Oryctolagus cuniculus: one gene and its partner. The protein of the gene in region 1 purifies or fractionates together with the protein of each later gene. This does not show direct contact. Links are inferred from orthologs where the notes say so. Each region holds a gene or a part of one and is shown in the gene's direction. Other genes may lie near its edges.

Evidence for each region.
Region 2: the proteins of LZTFL1 (region 1) and BBS7 purify together in Homo sapiens (affinity purification with mass spectrometry; 3 studies listed by BioGRID and IntAct, counting the BioPlex papers as one, with this or other methods). This does not show direct contact. The link is inferred for Oryctolagus cuniculus from reciprocal best matches to the Homo sapiens genes LZTFL1 and BBS7.

Annotation. Positions count from the first base shown.
Region 1 is NC_091441.1:103,577,697-103,584,179, reverse strand, and holds the start of LZTFL1 (leucine zipper transcription factor-like protein 1), read left to right. Parts: upstream 1-2,166; 5' UTR 2,167-2,364; coding exon 2,365-2,367; intron 2,368-4,985; coding exon 4,986-5,110; intron 5,111-6,483. UniProt on the Homo sapiens protein: Regulates ciliary localization of the BBSome complex. Together with the BBSome complex, controls SMO ciliary trafficking and contributes to the sonic hedgehog (SHH) pathway regulation. May play a role in neurite outgrowth. May have tumor suppressor function.
Region 2 is NC_091439.1:43,202,384-43,207,248, forward strand, and holds part of BBS7 (BBSome complex member BBS7), read left to right. Parts: intron 1-1,378; coding exon 1,379-1,565; intron 1,566-2,520; coding exon 2,521-2,593; intron 2,594-2,940; coding exon 2,941-3,057; intron 3,058-3,788; exon of another isoform or gene 3,789-4,865.

The DNA of each region.
Region 1 (6,483 bases):
CTCTCTCTCTCATCCCCCACCCTGTAACTCTGCCTTTCAAATAAATAATAAATAAATGTTAACAAAAAAGACAAAGAAATCTCAGTGATGGCAGCATAAAATGGAAATTTAACGGAGCTTTAAAAAGGCCGTGTGTGTGTGTAGGGGAGGATGGAGGTGAGAGAATGTGCCTTATGACCTTGCCAGGAGACAGAGATTCTGTACCCAAAGGGCAGGGTGCCTAGCCAAAGGCAAGGTTGGGCATAGCCACCCCAAGGCACACAATTGTGTGAAGAAATGAAAAGGAAAAGAAACTTCTTGCCACCAGAACCTGGTTTACCACTCACTGCATCAGAACAGAACCTGACTTCTGGGTCTGCGCTTGAAAACACACCTGCAACCGTTTCAATACAGACCTAGGCTGCAGATGCCTCCATGCAGCCTCCTGATGGCCAGGATACGTAAGCCCAGCTCAGTTTCTTCATCCAAAAAGCAAATGGGGAGAACCAAGTCTGCAAAATTCTTTCTAGACCTAAAAATCACCCCATGTGATCTATTTTGAAATTGCACTTTTAGCGATGATTCAGGACTAAAGGCAAATCTCTTTCTCCATGTTACATCTCCCAGTCTCTCAAAAAATGGTAGCTCTCTGCTCCGTGCCTTTTTTTTTTTTTTTTTTTTTTTTGACAGGCAGAGTGGCAGAGTGGACAGTGAGAGAGAGAGACAGAGAGAAAGGTCTTCCTTTGCCATTGGTTCACCCTCCAATGGCCGTCGCGGCTGGCGTGCTGCAGCCAGCGCACCGCGCTGATCCGAAGGCAGGAGCCAGGTGCTTTTCCTGGTCTCCCATGGGGTGCAGGGCCCAAGCACTTGGGCCATCCTCCACTGCACTCCCGGGCCACAGCAGAGAGCTGGCCTGGAAGAGGGGCAACTGGGACAGAATCCGGCTCCCCGACCGGGACTAGAACCCGGTGTGCCGGCGCCGCAAGGCAGAGGATTAGCCTATTGAGCCGCGGCGCCGACCCTCCGTGCCTATTTCTGTGTCTGTGTGAGCTCACTTTTTTCCTCACTCAGTTTCCAGTAATTTTACCTGGCTTCCATTTCTGTTTTCTAAGCCTGCTGTGCCCACTCCATGGTCTATGCCCACTCACCCCTGCCATGCCACTAACCCCTGGTACCTGCACTCATCTATCTCATCCTATACCCTTAAAAAAATTATTTCTGAAACTCAGAGCTACCGAGAGGGATGGAGGGACAGAGAGAGGTCTTCATCCACTGGTTAACTCCCCAGATGACTGCAGTGGCCGGGGCTGGGCCAGGCCAAAGCCAGGAGCCAGGAGCTTCTTCCAGGTCTCTTATGGGGGTGCTGTGGCCCAAATACTTGAGCCATCTTTTGCTTTCCTGGGCCATCAGCAGGGAGCTGGATGGGAAGTGGAGCAGCCAAGACAAGAACCGGCTCCCATATGGGATGCCGGAGTGTCCGGGCTTCACCCACTCTACCACAGCGGCCCCATACTTTTTTTTTTTTTTTTTTTTTTTTTTTTTACGGTAGTGTTTCTTAAGGAGCAGTCCAGTGATCATTCCTGGAAGGTCAGTAAGAACATCAGATTCCAAGAACCCACACTGGACTTCGCCCCTCAGAATTTGCTGGGGGGAGACCAAGGAAGCCGGTGGTTCTAGGCAATAGGAGATTTTCAGAACATACTGTTCTTTGAGAAAATCGAAGCTTGTTGTGATTGTTTTAAAAGGGGGAGAAATGCTCATTTAGTGACTTTCACCAGTTACATAAGAGAAAATAACGGCGGGGCAAGCTCTTCCACACTCTATCCAGGTAACTGGAAGCGCTGGTGTCGGCGTCGCTGTCTCAGCTACCCGGACGCTCAGGTAGGAACTGAACTCCCGGAGAAGAAAAGAACTCCTACGCCCCAGGAGACCGTTGGAAGGTCTAGGATAAGCCCTGGAAGACCCTGAGGCGCAGAGGCCACGGACTAGACCAGCGATTCTCAGCTCTGGAAGCGCCCGCGCCCTGCAGCGCACAGGCGCATTAGGGACCCCAGGCCGCCTCCGCCCCCTCCCGTTACCATGGCAACACCATCCGCTCCCAAAGTTCGCGTGGCGCGACAAGGCGGGACTTCCGGCTTAGGAACCAGTGCGCATGCGGCGGCCGGCGGGCTACGAGGAATTTCCTGTCGCGTGATCCCGGGAACCAACGAAATTGCCCAACTGCAGACCCACGTGCCTGCGTTCCCATTAGCAACCGGAGGCTTCTAAACACCCTCCCCTCCCGCCCCATCTTCGGTGGGCCTACCGCCGTCGGTCGTCCTCGGCTTAGCAAGGCTCCGTCCTGCCGTCCCTACTCCTGTAGGCTGCGGACTCCCGCCCGCCGCCATGGTGAGTGGCTGGCTCGCTGGCGCCGCACGGCTGGGGCTGGAGCGACAGGCTGTCCTCAGAGGACCCTCGTCCCGCTCGGAGCCTCGGGAGGACAGGAGGCCGGGCCCGGCCGGGGAGTTCGGGTCACCTCCGCCCCAGCGCCTCCGGGGTAACCCTGGGCGTCGCCTTTTTCTGGGGGCGCCGCTCCGCGGCGACGCTGATTTCTCATTCCTGAGCCAAGTCGCAGCTCGCAGGGGGCAGTGGCGAGAGCCTGAAGGGGTTTCTCTCTCCCCCCCTCCCTCCCTCCCCTTCTCTGTTTCTCTCTTCTCTGTCTCTTTCGCGGACACACACACTAACGAGAGCAGTCACGTGTTAACCAGCCATTGGAACACCGCTAGGGTTGTTACAATGATTTGTATACGAAGTAGTACAGTACCTGCTGAGCTACTAAGTAACCAATATGTGATGGGTTTTGTTACATTGTACTCACCTTTATCGCTAGAGCTGCTTCCTTGTTCCTCCCATGGTAAAATTGTGTGGATTTGTGGGCGCGGTCAGGATGCTGGGGTTCAGTGACTTGGTAACAGTCACACAGATGGATAGTTGCATCGGCGCACGGACAGCTGGGTTTTAGTCCAGTGCTGTCTCTTTAAACCCCATGTCAACCCAGTGCATTTCCGGGTGAATGACTTGACCTGCATACGTGGAGAATGCATGTGGAGACAGGCTGGGAGTCGCTGTGTCCCAGGCTGCTACTGCTCCCTCTCCTTGCTCCAATCCACTTTAGAGGAACTTTTCAGCCCTTATATCTAAAAATAATCCTTTTCAGTTGGAGAAATTTTTTTTTCTTCCTGGTCCTAGACCTCCTTCACAGGAGGGAAAGTAGCGAACAGGTGTAAATTGGCCACCTGCTCTGCACAAGACTCTACACCAGGTGTTGCGTGGTGTAAGAAATGATTCCTGTGTGCACGCAGCTTCCAGTCGGCTTGGAGCAGCAACACTGGAGAAGATTGAAAAAAAAAAAGATAATGCCACAGGTCGTAACCTGCGGTGGTGCCCGGTTAGGAGCACATGCTAGGTGTTGGAGGCTGGCGTAAAGCAGAGTTTCTGAGGGTGCATTGGGAAGCACCTCAGAGTAGGTAAAAAGAGGTTAGGCCTCGAAGGGGGCCGTAGGAGTTCAGTAATGTGGTGGACTGTGAGAGTACTTCAGAAAGTTCGTGGATTTTTACACCCAACTAAACTTGCCTGTTAACTGGAACATTTGAAGTACTCTTCATGTGGTTGTACTGGCTGCTGAGAGCCAGTTACGTGTTTCCTCTCATCTGTGCAGTCAGGGATGTTACACGGCTCCACTGAACTCAGCCGGCCGTGGAAGTATTTACACTGTGGAGATGAGCGTGACTGCAGATCAGGGGCCTCTCCCCAGAGAGCCTGTTGCTGAACTTACCGCACAGTGCTGGCTGCGATTCAGATTCCTGAACAGGCCGGGGGCGGGGGCTGGTTTCAGGCAAGGAGCAGGATACCGGTGAGTGCGAGTGGAGGCGGGAAATTCTAGGTTAGGCGTCAGGGCTGATGGGCAGGCTCGTCTGGCGGAAGTGGAGTGTTCACAGAGTAGGATTCTGGGAGACCGGGTTAGAGAAAGTGTGAAGGGTTTTAAAGACTGATGAGTACCATTTTTCTTAATCCCATGGCAATGAAAAATAAGAATTTATGCTTGTGGTTTATTTGTTGTTCCCACCCATGGTGGTGTGACTATCAGAGATAACTTTGTCTAATATAGTTGTTGGGCCTTTTTTTTTTTTTAATGCCTGGTGGAAATCAGCTTTGTAAACAATTGTTGCATTTGAATGGGGATGGATTTCCTCTAACTTCACTTCCTCTCTTCTCTCCTTCCTGCAGTCTAGTCCTTAAATGCCTGTTCCTCAGAACTGTTTTGTAAAATTCACCAGCACCTTCCTAATTACAAAGCCAGCTGCCAGGGCTGAGACCTTGCTCTGAGGTGACCTGCTGTACTGTTCGGCTGCTAGCCTTACTATCCTGGGTTTGCCTCCTATGTATCTGCCATGCTCTCCTGTGCTTGAAAACAGTGACCAAACTAAATTATGGCTATTTCCAAATGAAGTATGCTTTTTAAAGCTGTATTTTTTAGAGTAAAGGTTAAGTTCTTTAATACACACACACACACACACAAGCAGACTATGAAGGTTTAGTTTGCTCTCACTTAATGGCCATCTCACTGCTCATCTCTGGGGGTGAGCTATCTCCATGAGGGAGGCACACGTGTCCCTTTCATCCTGCAGCCCCTCCAGCCCTGTGGGCACTGGCCTGGCCTGCATGGGTCAGCTGAGTCCCCACATGTCTCAGGTTGCAGAGGAGCAGGGTGTGGCAAAGGCCTTACCTGTGTCTCAGGGCCCAGGCTTTGGACGGAGCCCACATCTCTTGTGCTCACACCATCCCTGAGAAGCAGTGTGGTGCGGAAGTGGCACCTGGCTGGGCAGCCACGCAGCCGGGAAGGAGGAGAGAGCAGAAGCTGATGCACGTCTTGCATTGTCTAGCACAGGGCAGCCTGTGTACTTTCATTGTTGGTTCTCTCTTCAGATCTCCCAGACTAACATGTGAATCCCTTCTCTCTTTTTCAGGCAGAGTTGGGTCTAAATGAGCACCATCAAAATGAGGTCATTAATTACATGCGTTTCGCACGTTCGAAAAGAGGCCTGAGACTCAAAACGGTGGACTCCTGCTTCCAGGACCTGAAGGAGAGCAGGTATCAGAGGACTCTGAGGAAGCCAGGTCGGAATGGGTTCCTCTCTGGTAGCCAGGACGGGGGTGCTGCAGTGGAGATCATAATGAGCCGTATCTGGGATCACCATCACCAGTGATGCTCTGAGAGCCCTCAGAGGTGTTCCAGACGCACTGCACCGAGTTGTGGTGGGTTGCGGTGGGAGCAGTGAACCTGTCAGACATGTGCAGGATAACTATGGGATGGTGGAGTTTCAGAAGGGTAGTCAGGAAGTCGCGAGGACCTTGTGGATTAATGAGTGGCTGATTGATTGGCTTCCTGTATTAAAGACTGCAGAACTTTACTTACTTGAGTTATTAATTAAAAGATTAGGGGCTGGTGCTGTGGCGTAGTAGGTTAAGCCTCTGCCTGGGGTACCAGCTTCTCATATGGGTGCCTGTTCGAGTCCCAGCTGCTCCACTTCTGATCCAGCTCTGCTAATGGCCTGGCAGAGCAGTGGTGGATGGCCCGAGTGCTTAGTCCCCTGCATCCATGGGGGAGACCCAAAAGAAGCTCCTGGCTCCTGGTTTCAGATCAGTGCAGCTCCAGCTGTTGCAGCCATCCGGGGAGTGAACCAGCGGATGGAAGACCTTTCTCTCTCTTTGTCCCTGTCTTTGTAACTCTGCTTCTCAAATAAATAAATGAAATCTTAAAAAGATTGGAGCCGTATGACATGGCAGTAAGCAACTCAAGCACCTCTGAAGCTCTTATTGAAGTTAGGACAGGGGAACATGGCAGGGATCCATGAACAACCTCCCTGAGCAGCGCCAGAACTGGTAGTTGATTTGAAGCAAGGGGTGATAATTAATTTGCTTGGACCAGTAACAGAAGATAATTAAATGTCAAGTCAGATATAAATGAAGGAGATCTCCAAGGGAGCTGCAGTTCTCGCAGTGCCGTGGGCTGCTACAGCCTTAGACCACTATGTGTTCAAGTTGGCCATCTGGTTCCCTAATCCCCAGCAGAAAGTGACAGTGAATTGGCAGGAACATGAAATGTTCTATTAACAAATGTAGAGAGAGTAGTATTAATATAATAAAAATTTTATTAAAAATAACTGTTTTTTCTAAAGGGTGGTTAAATTTCCGTTAAGGAGTTGTAATGAAATACTAGCAACTTGAGTGTCACCCTGATAAGCCATGAGTATAACTGAGTCTTACCCGACTATGTCCTTTTGGAATCAAGGAAGGAGACGAAGCTGAGGTTGGAGCAGGTGCTCTTGTTCTGCCGAGAGTCAAGGGAGAGGGACTTTACAGGGTGGAGGCAGGGAGTCGAGAGGACTGTGACTGCGAGGCCGTGATGGGAGGTAAGGGGCGTGCCCAGGAGCTTTCTCAAGGACTCAGCTGTGCTGAGACCGC
Region 2 (4,865 bases), on another chromosome or scaffold:
GGCTATTATAATGCATATTGACTTCAAAATGGACTTGCAGAGCTTGAAAAAGATATAGAATTTTATAAAGTTGATAAGAATGATATTAAATGTGTGTGTATATAGGGTGTGTGCAGTGAGGTGAGGAGCAGGCATTTGGCACAGAAGTTAAGACACTGGTTGAGATACCTGTGTACTGTATTGGAGTGTCTGGTTTGAGCCCCAGTTCCTTTGTTTCTAATTCAGCTTTCTGGTCATGTTCAACCTGGAAGGCAGCAGATGATGGCTTCTGCCAACCACACGGGAGACCTGGATTGAGCTGCTCTGTGTTCCTGTCTTTGGTCTCACCCAGTCTTTTTGTTGTAGCATTTTGGGAGTGGATCAGCAGATGGGAGATTTCTCTCTGTTTCTCTGCCTTTCAAATAAAATGAAAATAAATAAAAATTTTAAAAGTAGCCCAACTGTGGCGTAGTAGGTTAATCTTCCACCTGAAGCACTGGCATCCCATATGGGCACCAGTTCTAGTCCTGGCTGCTCCTTTCAATCCAGCTCTCTGCTATGGCCTAGGAAGGCAGTGGAGGATGGCCCAAGTGCTTGGGCCCCTGTACCCACGTGGGAGACTGGAAAGAAGCTCCTGGCTCCTGGCTCCTGGCTTCGTATTGGCACAGCTCTGACCCTTGTGGCCATTTGGCGAGTGATCCAACAGAAGGAACACCTTTCTCTCTATCTCTCTCTCTCTCACTGTCTGTAATTTTGTCATATAAATAAATAAAATCTAAAAAAAGAAAAATTGTTTTTTGATATAGTAATTATCTTCAGATAATCACATTTTCATTATTTTTATTTTTGGATTTTCTGAGCTCAGTCTATTGAATGGCCCAAGGATTTAAGATCCTCATTTTCAGTTTTCAGTCTTATGCCCAAAAGCCAGAAAATTGAGTGGGGGAAATGAAAGAAAATCATGTTCAATATGGTAAAATTGTAGTGAACTGTTTATTTTTTTGTTTTCATTCTTTCTTCTTTTTTTTGAAGACTTATTTATTTATTTGAAAGGTAGAGTTAGAGGGGAAGGTGGGATAGGGAGAGAGATTGATTTTTCCATCTTCTGGTTCACTCCAAAAATGGCTGCAGCAGCCAAGGCTGAGCAAAGCTGATGTTACGAGCCAAGAAATCCATCCAGATCTCCCATATTTGCTGCTTTCCCAGGTGCATTAGCATGGAGCTGTATCATAACTGGTGCTCATTTGAGATGCTGGTGTTAACAAGTGGTGGCTTAACCTGCTGCTGCTGCGTCACAACACTGGCACCTAGTTTTATTTTCCTCTGAAAAAAAGTCAGGAGTGACCTATGCTTATTTTTTAAATGTGGCTGTGTTAAATTGTTATTTTAATGTTCTCAGGCACATATCTGGCTCAGACCTCTTTCTCAGTGCAAATTACATCTATAACCATTATTGTGACTGCAAAGACCAACATTACTACCTTTCTGGGGACAAAATCAATGATGTCATCTGCCTTCCAGTGGAAAGAGTACCACGTATTACACCAGTATTGGCCTGCCAGGACCGAGTGCTCAGAGTTTTACAGGTTACCATTATTAGTATTTTTTTAACTTTGTGTAATTTACATAAGTGAATATTGATGAATGTTGTGCACTTGAGATAAACTGTTTCAGTGATTACTATTTAAGTGTTCTATATAAAATTTTTCTGGAAAAACATTTTAATAATTGGTAAATTGATTTATTTTTACTTGAGGCAAGTGTGTTGAGATTTTTTACAAGTTTTTAGGAGCAATATGTGGAAGAAAAACGTTGCTTTTCCCATCTCCAAACACAATTTCTGAATTAGTACAATCAGAATTGGATATTCCTAATACAGAGAACCCTCCTGAGCTTTTTGGCTTTACAATTCGTTAGCTTCTTATTTCACCCTCACTTCCCTCCAAAAAATCAAATTACAGGAAAAAATTGGATTGGGGAGCCGGTGCCGTGGCTCAATAGGCTAATCCTCCACCTAGCGGTGCCAGCACTCCGGGTTCTAGTCCCGGTTGGGGCGCCGGATTCTGTCCCGGTTGCCCCTCTTCCAGGCCAGCTCTCTACTGTGGCCCAGGAGTGCAGTGGAGGATGGCCCAAGTCCTTGGGCCCTGCACCCGCATGGGAGACCAGGAGAAGCGCGTGGCTCCTGGCTTCGGATCAGAGTAGTGCTCCGGCTGCAGCGGCCATTGGAGGGTGAACCAACGGAAAAAGGAAGACATTTTTCTCTGTCTCTCTCTCACTGTCCACTCTGCCTGTTGAAAAAAAAAAAAAAGGAGAATGTTTTAGTATTTTCTCCTTGATTTTTACATTTTATACATATATTATTTTCAAAAATGTTAATATATATAAAATTACTAACAAATACAAGTTGATATTTATGACCTAATTTTTTCAGCAGTTTTATTCTAGGTGTTAATAAGAGTACTGTATTTGAATATTGATGTTATTTATATTATTTTAAATTTGTAAACCGTTTGGATTTTTAAATACTTATTCTCCTTTTAGGGATCTGATGTAATGTATGAAATTGAAATTCCTGGCCCACCAACCGTCTTAGAACTATACAATGGAAATGGCGGTAATCAAAATCTCATTTTACTCAATCATCTATATATTATTAAAACATTAAGTGAAACAGGAAATTGTGTATTGAACATGAACTAGAACTGCAACACTTTTTTTTATAATAACTTGTCGGTAATGAACAATAATGGGTTACTGAATTTTGATTTTCAGTTTCTTCATCTAAAATTAGATGATGGCAAAGGGTTTTAACTTGTAGAGTTAAAAATATGTAAGTGTTCTTCCAAAGTTTTCTTATAATATTTAAAAAATTAGATTTTTTATGTGAAAACACTTTCAAGTTTAAAGAGAGATTATGAATTATGGGATAAATGTAGTATGTTTGATTTCAATTGTAAACAGGTAACTCTGGAGAGGACATTTTGTTTGGAACATCAGATGGAAAACTTGGGCTTATTCAGATCACTGCATCTAAACCAATACACAAGTGGGAAATTCGAAATGAGAAGAAGAGGGGAGGTATGCTTTTGTTGTAGTTCATATTCTGAAATTTCAATGATTATGAAACAAAATAGATTATAGATTATATAACTTTTATTGGCCGGCGCCGCGGCTCACTAGGCTAATCCTCCGCCTTGCGGCGCCGGCACACCGGGTTCTAGTCCCGGTCGGGGCTCCGGATTCTGTCCCGGTTGCCCCTCTTCCAGGCCAGCCCTCTGCTGTGGCCCGGGAGTGCAGTGGAGGATGGCCCAGGTGCTTGGGCCCTGCACCCCATGGGAGACCAGGAAAAGCACCTGGCTCCTGGCTCCTGCCATCGGATCAGCGCGGTGCACCGGCCGCAGCGCACCAGCCGCGGCGGCCATTGGAGGGTGAACCAACGGCAAAGGAAGACCTTTCTCTCTGTCTCTCTCTCACTGTCCACTCTGCCTGTCAAAAAAAAAAAAAAAAAAGATTATATAACTTTTATTTATTCACATTATATAGCAGATTTAGCAACTCATAGAGCCAATTCTGAATTTATCTGCTATTTGTTTGTTATCACATCTGTCATACTATTGGAATACTAAGTGAGAAATGTTGATAGTAATTTGGGATAGACAGGATTTTAAAGGCTAATGTGCATCATTCTTTGCTAAAATCCATTTTTCATGGTCTGAAATAGAGAATTAGTTGGAATCTAGGAGTACTTATAATGAGGCAAAGAAAAAATACAGTCTGTGGGTCAGGGAATATTCATATTTCCTAGGGAATTTTTTTTTGTGTTTACTTACTTTAATAACAATATGTAGATCATGCTATCACCATGGAATGTAAGTTCAGGTTAGACAAGAGATTTCACAACTGCAATAATGTATCCTGTAGTATATCAAAGTTTGTGTATAATGTCTGACCAACCAGCTTGCTCATAAACTATTGATCACTTCCACTATAGGTAATTTAACATTTATGAGTCTTACACAGAAAATTAAAAAACACTGCACACATTTTAAAAGTGTTAATTTACCTTTGTATTAGCAGTTAAAATACATGTTTCTATTTCAAGGTGACATTTAGAAATTATGCTAGTATAACAGCAGCAAAAATATAATTCTGCAGTTTTTACAAAAGAGCTAACCTGGAATCCATAATTAAATTAGTCTCACATCTACAAGTATGATTCTGAAATAAATACTACTATGCAGCTGTCTTAAAAGCTTGCTACCTTTTGTTTGTGTACACACACAAGTACACACACACACATTCAGGTGTGGGAGGCTTTACAAATTATATTCCATGAACTTTTTGAAAAAGAGTTCTTTAAGAGATAACCAATCCCAAAAACTGAAATATTCATCCAGTCTATGAGGCAGGCAGAAAAAAGTGAATTAACTGGGTAAACAGGACTCCTTTCCAACACACGAAGCATGTGACACTCTGCAGCAAACTGGGAGTAACTTCAGCATTGGCCTGCTGTGATCTTTAGGACTAATTTCATCACAAGGGTTGGGGTGGAGGGAGAACATTTTAACACCAGGTGTAAAATGTGACATTGTGTTAACCTGACTCCCCGAGGGACCTATTAGTGAACTAGTCACTAATAATTTGGTCACGAGGAGGTCCATATTCAAAATACCATGTATTATTGTCTAAACCCACTCAAATTATTTATTTTCGATATAACACATAACCTCAATATGAGATGTCTAACTAAAGGAAACATCTCCAACAAGGCCAAGCCAGCATCTCTTCTAAGGTTTAGGTTTCACCCAGAATTCCCGATACATGGAATAGCCCATACCAAGAGTCATTGCTCCTACAACAAAGCCTTGAGCCGCCACACGCATGTG